Elephas maximus indicus: one gene and its partners. The main gene of each other region encodes a partner of the protein of the gene in region 2 in a complex. Links are inferred from orthologs where the notes say so. Each region holds a gene or a part of one and is shown on either strand. Other genes may lie near its edges.

Region 1 (3,749 bases), on a different chromosome or scaffold from region 2:
CCAGTATTGTTTAGAAAAAGCTGTTCGGCTGGTGCTCAGGTAAGAGAGAAGTGAGGGCTGCCAGCATGGACTCAACACTCATCTGCATAGAGGTACTCCTTGAAGCCCAACACTTCCAAAGAAAAAGCGAAAAAAAAAAAAAAGTAGAGAAAAGAAGATCAAAGATGGACCACTGGGGAACATCTACTTTAAGAGAGGAAGGAGAAATAAGAAAACTTAAAGAGCAGAATGCTAAAGAAGCGTAGAAAGAAGTAAAGCAGGACTGAAAAAAAGGTCATTGACCTTGGTGACCAGATCACTGGCAAACTTTTGAAAATCCTTTCAGAAATGTGGTAAGATGAAAGTAAGTTTGCAAGGTGCTCAAAGGCAACTGTGAAAATCTGGAGGCAATGAATGTAGCCAAGTCTCTGAAAATTTTACAGAGAATGGAAAGAGAGAGCTAAGGTGGATACTTGAGAGTGCAGCTTTATGTATGGGAGAGATCTGAGCTTATTTATAGAGTAGAATGAGTGGATGTATTGGGAGATAAGAAAAATACAATAGAGAGAGTATATTTTCATTTAAGGAACAAGATGGTCTAGGTGGTAGGAAGGTATTTGACCAAAGATATAATAAAGGGCTAGACTTACAGAACAGCAGAGAAGAAAAAAGGGAACAAGCTTTTATGATACACATCATGTCCCAGAATCAAATATGTATATTTTAGTACCACATCTGATCTTGGATTCCCAAAATTACTGTGTACCTTGAGAAATTAACTCTCACAGTTTCCCCAGTATTTTCAATTTTCCTGGGACAAAGCACTTAAAGTACTAAGGGGTATTATGCATAACAAACAAAACCAGACAGAACTCCTGTCCTCTCAAAAGTTAAACTACACAAAATTAACCCAAGTTACATGGAAGGCCAAACTTACACATTTAAGAAGTGCACAATGGAACAGAAAAGATGTCAGGGCAGGTGCATAACTGGAAAATAATTAAGTCACATTCACTCAAAAAACCAGCCAAACAAACTCTGCTGTGTGCAGGAAGGAAAACAGTTAAAGTATGTCAACGTGAAAAGTTTAATGTGCTTTTTGAGGCGATGAAAATGGTCTAAAATGCATCGTGGTGAGGGCTGCACAATCCTGTGAATATACTAAAAACCACTGAATTGTACGCTTTAAGCGGGGGAATTGTATGCTATGTGGATTGTATCTCAATGAAGTTATAATTAAAAAAAGCTTAATGAGAGAAAAGAGCCAGACATGTTTAACCAGAAGATATGAGACTTGGGGATATGACAGCTGTTTTTAAGCTAAATATAAACAGCTTGAAGATCAAAAAAAGGTCCCTACGCGGCACAAGGAAACCCTGGTGGCATAGTGGTTAAGAGCTACGGCTGCTAACCAAGAGGTGAGCAGTTCAAATCCGCCAGGCGCTCCTTGGAAACTCTATGGGCAGTTCTACTCTGTCCTATAGGGTCGCTATGAGTCGGAATCGACTCGACGGTAGTGGGTAGGGGGCACAAACGGTTTGCTCTCAGAGGCTAACCTAAACGTTGGCAGTTTGAACCCATCCAGTGGTACCTCAGAAGAATAGACTTGATGATCTGCTTCCATTAAGATACAGCCAAGACAACACTATGAAGTAACACCATGAGTCTCAATCGAATGGACAGCAACTAACAACAAGATTAAAAAGCCATGAGGTGTTTTCTACAAATTTCAAGGGTCTGCATTAGAATCAATGGGTGGCAACTACAGGCAGGTAGGCTTTTCTAAAAGCCAACGATGTCTACGTAAACGGCTCTGGAGGTGGTGAGATTCTCCCATCCCTGTCTGCCCCAATACTGTAGATATTCATGAAAAGAATATATAAACCATTGGATGGGAGGGTGACTTAGGGTTGACAGAAAAATGTTGTTAGGTCCCCTGGAGTCTGTTCCAACTCATAGCGACCCCACATATAACAGAATAAAACATTGCCCAGTCCTGTGCCATCCTCACAATAGTAGGTATGTTTGAGCCCACCGTTGTAGTCACTGTGTCAATCCATTTTGTTGAGGGTCTTCCTCTTTTTTCAATGACCTCTACTTTACCAAGCATGATGTCCTTCTCCAGGGATTGGCCCCTCCTGGTAAAATGTCCGAAGTAACTGAGATGAAGTCTCTCCACCCTCACCTGCCTAGTTAAACTGGAATTTCAGATAAACAATGAATAATAGTTTTAGTAAAGTATGTCCTAAAGATAGCAAGGGACAACAAACATGGCCAAGACCCAAGTGACACACTCATACTAAAAAAATAATCCGTGGTTTATCTGAAATTTACATTTAACTGAACATCCTGTGTTTTTATTTGCTACCTCTGGCAACAAGATACTATAGATGTGATTTTTAAGATCCATTCCAAACCCGAGTGTCTATGAGGTGAAGGAATCAGTCAAGAAGCTATGTGGGATGAGATCGGGGCTGGAGGAAGCAGTTCTACTGTCCTATAGGGTCGCTATGAACCGGAATCGACTCGATGGCAGCAGTGATTTTTGGTAGAATATGGTCACTTGGAGCCCTGGTGGCGCAGCGGTTAAGAGCTCGGCTGGTAACCAAAAGGTCGGCATTTTGAATGCACCAGGCGCTCCTTGGAAACCCCAGGGGACAGTTCTACTTTGTCCTACAGGGTCGCTATGAGTCGGAATCGACTCGACGGCATTGGGTTTGGCTTGGTAGCTGGAGAGGGGGGTGAATGGTCAAAGGGCAGGGTAGCAGAACAGAGACTAGAATGAAGAGACCTGTGAGAAGAAGAAAAAGAAAGGCAACGGTCCCGGGAAGTCCACCTAGGTTCGCTAGCCTCCTTCTCCCGCAGAACCGGCCCCTTAACTCACATTTTTCGCACACCATCCTTCAGAAGACGACGGTTCCCTTAACAACAATAGCAGCAGCAGCTCGCAAACATCAACACTACAACCCGAAAAGGATTTTCCTTCCGGGTACGTCGATCTACTTCCGGCCTCTCAACCCCGAGCTCCGGCCTATCCTACACCTGGAAAGCCGCGGGAGGAATAAACGCGAGCCGGTGGGCGGGGCTTCTCCATATGCCCGCCTCCTCTCCTTTGCGATTGGCTGTTGGGGCTCGGGTTCCGCCCCCACGACCTTGCGCCTGCGCGAGGGTCAGGGCAGCGAGTCGCACCTGATGGTGGGTGGCGGCAGCCTCCCCTTCCCATCCGCGGGCGGGAGAGTTAGGTAAGCCCAGCTGGAGCCCCCGGCTCGCTCGTCCCCCGGAGGTGCGAGCAGCCCCCAGCAACGGCCGCAGTGGGCGCGAGTCTCTGTGCCCCACCGTCCGCTCGAGCGCCACCATTCCGGCGTGACCCCAGGGGCTTCCCTGATGGACCGACTGTGGTTCGGATCCGACTTTTGCCTCTGTACCTGTTTTCTCTGGTGTCCACCGCCTGTGCTCTTTGCCACCTGTAATCCCGCCGGGTGAAGCTTGGGCAGAGCCCTGATCGACCAGTTTGGGGTGGGGCTGCAGATGGACGTCCCGCGATTCCCAGGAAGGCTTCTCTGGGAGCAGCTCAGAGGAGCCTTCTCACCGGCTGTAATACCCGTCGATCTGAGCCAGGTGAAACCGACGGCGCCAGGGCGGTGGCCTTCCCATGGGGCTCCTGTTAGGTGTCTTCCCGGGCACGCCAGGGCCTAACAGTGCTTGTTTCTCAGGAAGGGCCCCTGCGTTTGTTTGTGGGCAACCTCTACCTACTCGTTCGGGCATTCATT
Region 2 (3,749 bases):
CTCATTACGAAGCTTGATTCCCATCTTTCGTTTGTGACTATTTAAAAAGTATAAATGTAGAACATATTTTTAAATAATTTAAATATATTCACCACTGCAAATGTTTATAGCTAGCCTGAGAACAAGTACTTAAATAACTTAAGTTTGCCTAGCCATGTAGAAAAAGTTTCTATTAAGATTTTAAATAAATACCATTTTAACTTTAACTTCAAAAATTTCTAAGTGCATTTCCATATCATGTTTACTTTTGCTCACATTCTACCACATAGCATCCATGAAGTCTAAGCAGTATTTTAGCTTGTTACCTAATACAAACTCTTTCATGTTGAGATACCAAGAGTCCAATTGATCTAAAAATATATGAAAAAAAATATAGAGACTGATAAATTCTTTCCAGTGTAAAAATACAGTAAAAGCTTCTATAACAATTTTTATTGGATTTATCTAAAGTTAGTTAGAACTAATCAAAGTACTTAATTAGTTCAACATTTTAAAGAGAAGCACACTTGTATTATTTTTAAGTATAGTCTACTTTATAAATCGAACATAAATGCTTGTCTGAGGAATTAAGATTCTAAACGAAGGGTAGGACAAAGAAGGAACACTGCACATAATGCAATCCCAGACTGGAGCTGGAGATGTAGAACCAAAAATATGCCATCACTCAAAAATCTTCATCATACTAACGAGAAAAGGTGGGAGGAGAGGTACTGGCCAGGTACAATTTCAGCTCAGCAAGGCTCTGAGAGCAGCGGGAAGCTGAAAGCACATACAAAGTGATTTGATTATAAAATAAAACACCTGAAAGGGGCTCTCCTAATTACTGGGTATTTGCGAAATGCAATTAATTAATGAGATTTTTACTGTGAACAGTAAGGCCAAAAAAAAAAGTTATATCAGCTTAAATTATGCTACAGCAACACTCATTACTGCGGAGCTACCTTATGACTGTTAGTATTACTAATTAATCTTTAAAGGATTAAATAGTCCCCTTCTTCCCCAAATGTTAGAAGTTTAAAAATTGTAGCAATTGAAAAAAAACTATGCCTACCTCTCTTCATCCAAAGGCACAGGTTTTCCATTATCAGCTACAAACATGTCATGGGTCCTCTTCAATGACCTGAACACAAGTGTGTGCACAGAATGTTTCTGTACCTCCTGAAAAGAAAGAGTGCAAATGTAGCTACAAATTACTCACCACTGCTTTAACCACTCACCACTGCTCCCAGTAGCAAGCTGTAAGAGTCAAGTTTAGAAAAGAGGAGGAAGCTGCTCTTTGGCTAGAGTCCCAGGTACATTAACTGAGCAAAGCCTGAGATTAGTAATTTATTCAGTGCACACTATGTGTCTGGCAGGCACTGCGCTAAAACCTATCAAAAGAATGATGAAAAGAGTCAAGCTCCCTTTGCTCAAGGACAAAGAGAGAAATAAAAATAAGCAAAATAGTCCCACATTTTTATTACTGCTATGAAAGTAACAAGCAAGGGCTGAGACACAAAAAGGAGAAGGGAAATTACGCAGGATGGTTAGGAAAGGTCTCTCTGAGGTGACATTTAAGCAGAGGCTGAGTTACCCTGCAGAGGGGAGGTAAGGACAATTTGGACAGATGGAAGCCCTCACGTACAAAGATGCTCAGTAACTGCAATAATGCCAGGAGCTCCAGGGCAGTTGTGTGTGTGCGTTAGGCGAGAGGGTGGGTCTTGTTGCAAAATGAGGTTGCAAGAATAGGCAAAGTCCAGATCAGGTAAGGTCTTTTAAAACCATTACAATAATCCGTATTCTTGTCCTAGTGGTAACATAAGGCCAGCAAAGGGTTTTTACCAAGGAAGGCGTGACCAACTTACGTTTTAAAGAGATCAATTTAGGGGGCACAAACATGGAAGCAAGGAGACCAGCTGGGAGCTAATGCAGCAGTCCAGGCAAAAGATGATGTTGGCCTGAATGAAGGTGATTGCGACGCGTATGGAGAAAAGTGGAGAGAGTCGAACTATTTCTGAGACAAGGTAGACAAGACCTGCTAACAGAATAGGTATTCAATCTAGGAAAAGATGTGAAAACTCAAGAATGGCAGGTTTTCCTGGGGGAAGAGCTGCGATAAGAGACCAACTGGAACCAAGATACAAAACAACAGCAGTCTTTAAGGATCCAGAATTACTGGCACTCCCCTGCGAGCGGCGACTACCAGTGGTCGAACATCAACAGAAGCCTCACCTACGGGGACAGGGCGCAGCTCCTAAGGGCCAATTGAGGACTGAATAAATTATCTCAGGCTTCCCGCCTCAAACTCGTGCTCTCATCCCGCCTCTTCCCTCCCCGAAAACCTTAAGAAGAGACCACCCGGCCTCGGCAAAACAGCCTCCCCTCGCAGCCTCTCTCGCCCCAGATTCCCAACACACGCTATCACCCACGCCCGCCGCCAGAGAAAAGCAGTTCAGAGCCAAACGACTCCTCAGCGCCTAGGTGTCACTCTACCTCGACCATGATGCTGCCGTGAAATCCGCCTCTCCGGCAGGAACGGTACACTAATCACCAACGCAAAGGCCGCCGCCACAACTGTGCAGCCCCTTCCGCAATCGCGCGCCCTGGCGCCGGATATGACGTAATTGTGCGCAGGCGCGCTGGTTGTCCGTAGGTGGTCTTGGGCACGAGGGGCGGGCCTTTCTCCTCGGGGCCGCCTCTGGGGGCGGAGTCTCGGGACAGAGCGCCAGAGGCTCCTCGAGGAGCGTGGCTGCGTTTGTCTTGTCTCTAGAACTGTTGAAATGAGCATGTTTTCTGTCTTATCCGCCGCTTTAAATGTTTTGCATTGGCGCCGTAGTTGTTTGCACTGTATTGCTCGGCAACTAAATGCTTTTTATTCAGAGAGCTTATGAAATCAGCTTTAGTGAGGGTCTGGAAAGCGAAGATTTCCCAGTCGGCGCTAAGACTCCTCTAAGGTCTCCCCTCTTTGGGGTTCGCCTCCGCGCTTTATGTCCCTAATCCCACTACCTTGCTGAAGCCTTTAGTCGCCGCCCACTACCTGGCTGGAAGAGTTTAGTCGCCGTTGTAGCCTGAAACAGTCCCGCTTACACCGTCCACTAAAACGGTTAATGAGTCGATGTCGCTGAGTAATTGTCTCCGTTTGAAAAATTTTGAGGGAAGTGATATGTGAAGGAATTTTGCGTTAGGAAGATCTGACAAAACCCCGAATTTATTTTCTGTTAGATAAATAGGTTTTTTAAAGAAGTCTCTCAAAACTGCGTAACTCCTGTTTCTGATGAATGTGACTTCAGCAAAGGTAGGTACAGCTTTTCAAAGCTGATGGAAGAAGATTGAAGACTTAAACCATTTTTATTTTTATAAACACATTGGTGCCAAAGTATTGATATTTTTGGCTTGCTTTTTACGCAGATAGAATCTGCAGTTATCAATCCTGTTCAATTATTTTCATATGTGAAAAGGAAAATCGATGGAGCTGGTTATTTGCAAACTTAACTCGACATTTGACTGGCTCTGTTTCTTAACCATAATGAGTTCCACTGATGGTGTCTACGGAGCATACTACATATTCTTTGAGAGGAAAAAAAAAAAACCCAAAATGGTACCAAAAGTATAGCAATTTTTAAATTTTATTTAAAAATGCTTTAATTTTTCATTCATTGAAACATCAAGGTCATGATTTTACTTGAAAAAACAATCATCTACAAATTTGAGTGTGAGTTTGGCCTAAGAACTAATTTTCTGTAAAAATAGTCACTGATGGTGGGCCTTCC
Region 3 (3,749 bases), on a different chromosome or scaffold from region 2:
GTTGGCGAAGAATATTGAATACACCATGGACTGCCAGAAGAACGTACAAATCTGTCTTGGAAGAAGTACAACCAGAATGCTCCTTAGAAGCAAGGATGGCGAGACTGTGTCTTACATACTTTGGACATGTCAGGAGGGATCAGTCTCTGGAGAAGGATATCATGCTTGGCAAGGTGCAGGGTCAGTGGAAAAGAGGAAGACCCTCAACAAGGTGGATTGACACAGTGGCTGCAACAATGGGCTCAAGCCTAACAACGATTGTAAGGATGGCTCAGGACCAGGCAGTGTTTCGTTCTGTTGTGCATAGGGTCGCTATGAGTTGGAACGACTCCACAGCACCTAACAATGACAACATTTTGTACATTAGGTCCTTAAACCATTTTGAATTTTTGTGTGTGCATATAGTGTGAGGCATGGATCCTGTTTCATTTTTCTGCATGTGGAAATCCAGTTTTCCCTAACACCATTTATTGAAGAGACTCTTCTTTTCCCATGAAATGGACTTAGCACCTCTGTCAAAAATCAGTTGACCATAGACTTGTGGGTGTATTTCTGGACTCTCAATTCTATTCCATTGGTCTCTGTGTCTATTGTTATATCAGTCCCAGGAAGTTTTGATTATTGCAGCTTTATAATATGTTTTAAAATCATGAAGCGTGAGTCCTCCTACTCTGTTCTTCTCTTTCAACATTCCTTTAACTATTCGGGGCCTCTTGCTATTCCACGTGAAGTAAAGGGGTGAATTTTTCTGTTTCTGTAAAGAAGACTGTTGGAATTTCGGTCGGGATTCAGTTGAATTTATAGATCACTTCGGATAGTATTGACATCTTAACAATATTAAGTCTTCCACCCCAAGAACATGGAACATCTTTCCATTTATTTAAGTCTTAATCTTTTAGTTTTTTTTTTTTTTAATAATTTTCATTGTGTAAGTCCTTCACGAACCTGGTTAGGTTTATTCCTAGGTTTTTTTTTTCTCTCTCTTACATGTTGTTGTAAATGGTGATTTTTTTCTTAGTGATTTATTTTATCTACACTTTCCACATCAGTAGGGCAAGGTGCTCAGTAAATATTGTCATATGCCTACATGAATGAATTAATAACTGCCAGTGGGTTAGAAATGAATCGCCCTTCCAGCACGTCCGTATAGGTCGCTCTGAGTCGAAGGTGTGTTGTTGTTGTTTTCGTCCAGCACACCCATCCCCTGAAGAACTACATTTCCCGGGATGCTTGTCTTGGCGCCTTCATATGAAGTGCCAAAAGAGCGACATTAGTTGTTATGGCCCCCATATCCGCCGTCGCCGGGGTCGCAGTGTTTTATGGGAAAGGTAGTTCTTGCGCTGTTCGGCCGGCACTCAACGAACAGAGCCAGACTGAACTTCCTGGCAAACAGCCCCGCGACCTGGCAAGCGGGGCAAGATGGCGGACGCTGAAGAGGGTGTTTCGCGGCCGGCAGCGGTCTCTACCGCCCCAATTTCTTTTGGCTTTAGTCGCACGTCCTCCCGGAGGCGGGTGGTGGACCTAGGAGACAGAGCGAGGGCCGCCCCGGAGGAGAAGGATTTCTTGAAGACTGTGGAGGGAAGGGAGCTGCAGAGGTGAAGCGCTGGTTCCCTCACCCCCTGGAAATCGGTGCGGTGGGCTCAGGAGGGATGGCGGTATCTGAGTTGCTTGTCATAGTGAAGGTGGCCTTGAAAGCCTGAAGCACAGCCTGAGGAAATTCGTGGAAGCGAGAAGGCGCGAGTTTGTAGGAGGGGTGGGGAAATTGGGCCTGATAGCGTGGGAATTGAGAAGAGGGGATGTATTAGTGACAGGGAGTGTCTTTAGGACTTGGGGACCCTAAGGTGTGTGCGTTCTAAGAGAGAAAAAGGAGAGGAGGATGACAGGATCCCCTAGTGTCTCAACTGAAGCGATGGGGCTTCTTCGGTATGGGGAACGGGATAGAGCCGCAGATTCAGGTTGAGGGAGGCCATTTATCAGCTTAATACGGAAAGGGGAGCCTGAGGGACCTGAGAGAGGGGCTTCTAGAAGAAGGCGAAGGTGAGCCACTGTGGAAGCCATGGAAGTGGGTCTTGGAATGAACAGAAAGTCCAGAACTGATTCTCTGAAGGAACCATTTAAGAGTTGGAGAAGGAGGAAGAATCCAGAGAAGATACCAGCAGAGACATAACAGGAGAATCATTCAAGAGAATGGAGGGCATGTTCCATGGGGCAGGGGATGAGTTTGACTGTTGTATTTTCTCTGGATAAAGGGATGTGGCTCAGAACCCACTGACCACGTTAACTCTCCCAATCTCACTCCTCTATGTTGGCATCAGTGTGAAGCCCTCAGAAGCCCCTAAGGAACTTGTCATCCCTTTGATCCAGAATGGACATCACAGGCAGCTACTGACCCAGACCCCTGGACCATCCACAGATGCTGAGACCTTAGTGGATGGGGTGCTGCTGTCCCAGGCTGTGAAGGAACTCATTGAGGGTAAGTGACCTCTACCCCTCACCCTGCCCCAATAATGGCAGAAGGGGAGGAAGGGTAGAGTGGTACCTCATTGCTCCCTCCTGTTCTTCCTTAGAATCCAAGAAGTCTCTGGAGGAGAGAGAGAATGAAGGTGTCGACCCCACGCTCGCTATCCCCATGATCCAGAAAGGATGCATCCCCAGTGGGGAAGGGGCAGACAGTGAACCCCAGGCTGAGACAGTGAGCTGGCCCCTTTCCTCTCTCCTGCGCCAGCCCCTCTTCGCCCTATCTACCAGGCTTGCCTCCCTGCAGGAAAAGTCTGTGTGAATTAGAAGCCTGCTGCCTATCCCCTGCTCCTTTTATCCTTTTTAGAATCATTTTTTTAATCCAAATACTGGGGTTTGGAAAAAGTACATGGATTCTTGGGCTAACTGAGTGAGATGTAGAGGAGAAGGAGCAGGAAAAACAAAGGCCCTGAGGTTAGACTCTGCCTGGGGTGTTTGAGGAACACCAAGGAGACCGTGCTGGCTGGAATGGAATGAAGGAGGGGAGGGTAATAGATGAGATCAGAAAGGTAGTGGAGGCTAGACCATGTAGTGCCTTGTGGGCCATGGTAAGGACTTCGGCTTTACTGTGTGTGAGGTGAGAGCCATAGGAGGGCTCCTAGCAGAGGAGGAAGGTGACCTGACTTACAGCTTGACAGGGACCTTCTGGCTTCTGTGAACAGAAGAGACTTGTATGTGAAGGTAGAAGCAAGTGGACCAGTGAGGTGATTATTGCAATAGTCCAGGCGAGAGATGATGGAGACTTAGATCAGAGTGAGGCCTGGAAGGATAGATGAGATTTACTGAGAGGGGGAAGAGCAGGGTGAGTACTCCTAGTGGGAGCAATGGCCTGGCCAAAGGCCGGGTGTCAGGAAATCAGCATGGTTTGTGTCCATCAGGGAGGCAACTTGTAGTAGACCTGGAGCTAATGGCAAATGCAAAGCATCGAGAGGGGTGATAGTGGGAGGTGATAACAGCAAAGGTAAGGGGTGTGTCCACAGAAGTAACCAAGTCTGTCTTTTGTCCCTATGGGCCCCACTTTTTACCTCTTCATTCACAAATGTTTTGCAGTGCCTTTTGGGGGCCTAGTTCTCTTACAGCCCCAGACTACCCTTTCTACTGAACTTTTCTCATCAGCCTTCAAATGTGTTCTGGTTTCATTGCTCTTAAAAACAAACAACAACAACACCCCCACTTCACTGTTCATTCTCTTCCAGCTTTGGCCACATTTCCCTAATTTTCCCTCCTACAAA

The links. Proteins that work in one complex are often made in the same cells at the same time.
Region 1: PLRG1 (region 2) and CRIPT share a complex: the UniProt entries of both Homo sapiens proteins name them as parts of the minor spliceosome. The link is inferred for Elephas maximus indicus from reciprocal best matches to the Homo sapiens genes PLRG1 and CRIPT.
Region 3: PLRG1 (region 2) and GPKOW share a complex: the UniProt entries of both Homo sapiens proteins name them as parts of the minor spliceosome. The link is inferred for Elephas maximus indicus from reciprocal best matches to the Homo sapiens genes PLRG1 and GPKOW.

Annotation. Positions count from the first base shown.
Region 1 is NC_064844.1:15,567,576-15,571,324, forward strand, and holds the start of CRIPT (cysteine-rich PDZ-binding protein), read right to left. Parts: upstream 2,971-3,749; 5' UTR 2,880-2,970; coding exon 2,864-2,879; intron 1-2,863. Other genes in the region: PIGF (phosphatidylinositol-glycan biosynthesis class F protein), read left to right, coding at 3,508-3,597. UniProt on the Homo sapiens protein: As a component of the minor spliceosome, involved in the splicing of U12-type introns in pre-mRNAs. Involved in the cytoskeletal anchoring of DLG4 in excitatory synapses.
Region 2 is NC_064831.1:28,403,762-28,407,510, reverse strand, and holds the start of PLRG1 (pleiotropic regulator 1), read right to left. Parts: upstream 2,588-3,749; 5' UTR 2,482-2,587; coding exon 2,473-2,481; intron 1,159-2,472; coding exon 1,052-1,158; intron 38-1,051; coding exon 1-37. Other genes in the region: FGB (fibrinogen beta chain), read left to right, coding at 3,254-3,274. UniProt on the Homo sapiens protein: Involved in pre-mRNA splicing as component of the spliceosome. Component of the PRP19-CDC5L complex that forms an integral part of the spliceosome and is required for activating pre-mRNA splicing.
Region 3 is NC_064846.1:122,471,378-122,475,126, forward strand, and holds the start of GPKOW (G-patch domain and KOW motifs-containing protein), read left to right. Parts: upstream 1-1,341; 5' UTR 1,342-1,419; coding exon 1,420-1,595; intron 1,596-2,315; coding exon 2,316-2,473; intron 2,474-2,567; coding exon 2,568-2,692; intron 2,693-3,749. UniProt on the Homo sapiens protein: RNA-binding protein involved in pre-mRNA splicing. As a component of the minor spliceosome, involved in the splicing of U12-type introns in pre-mRNAs.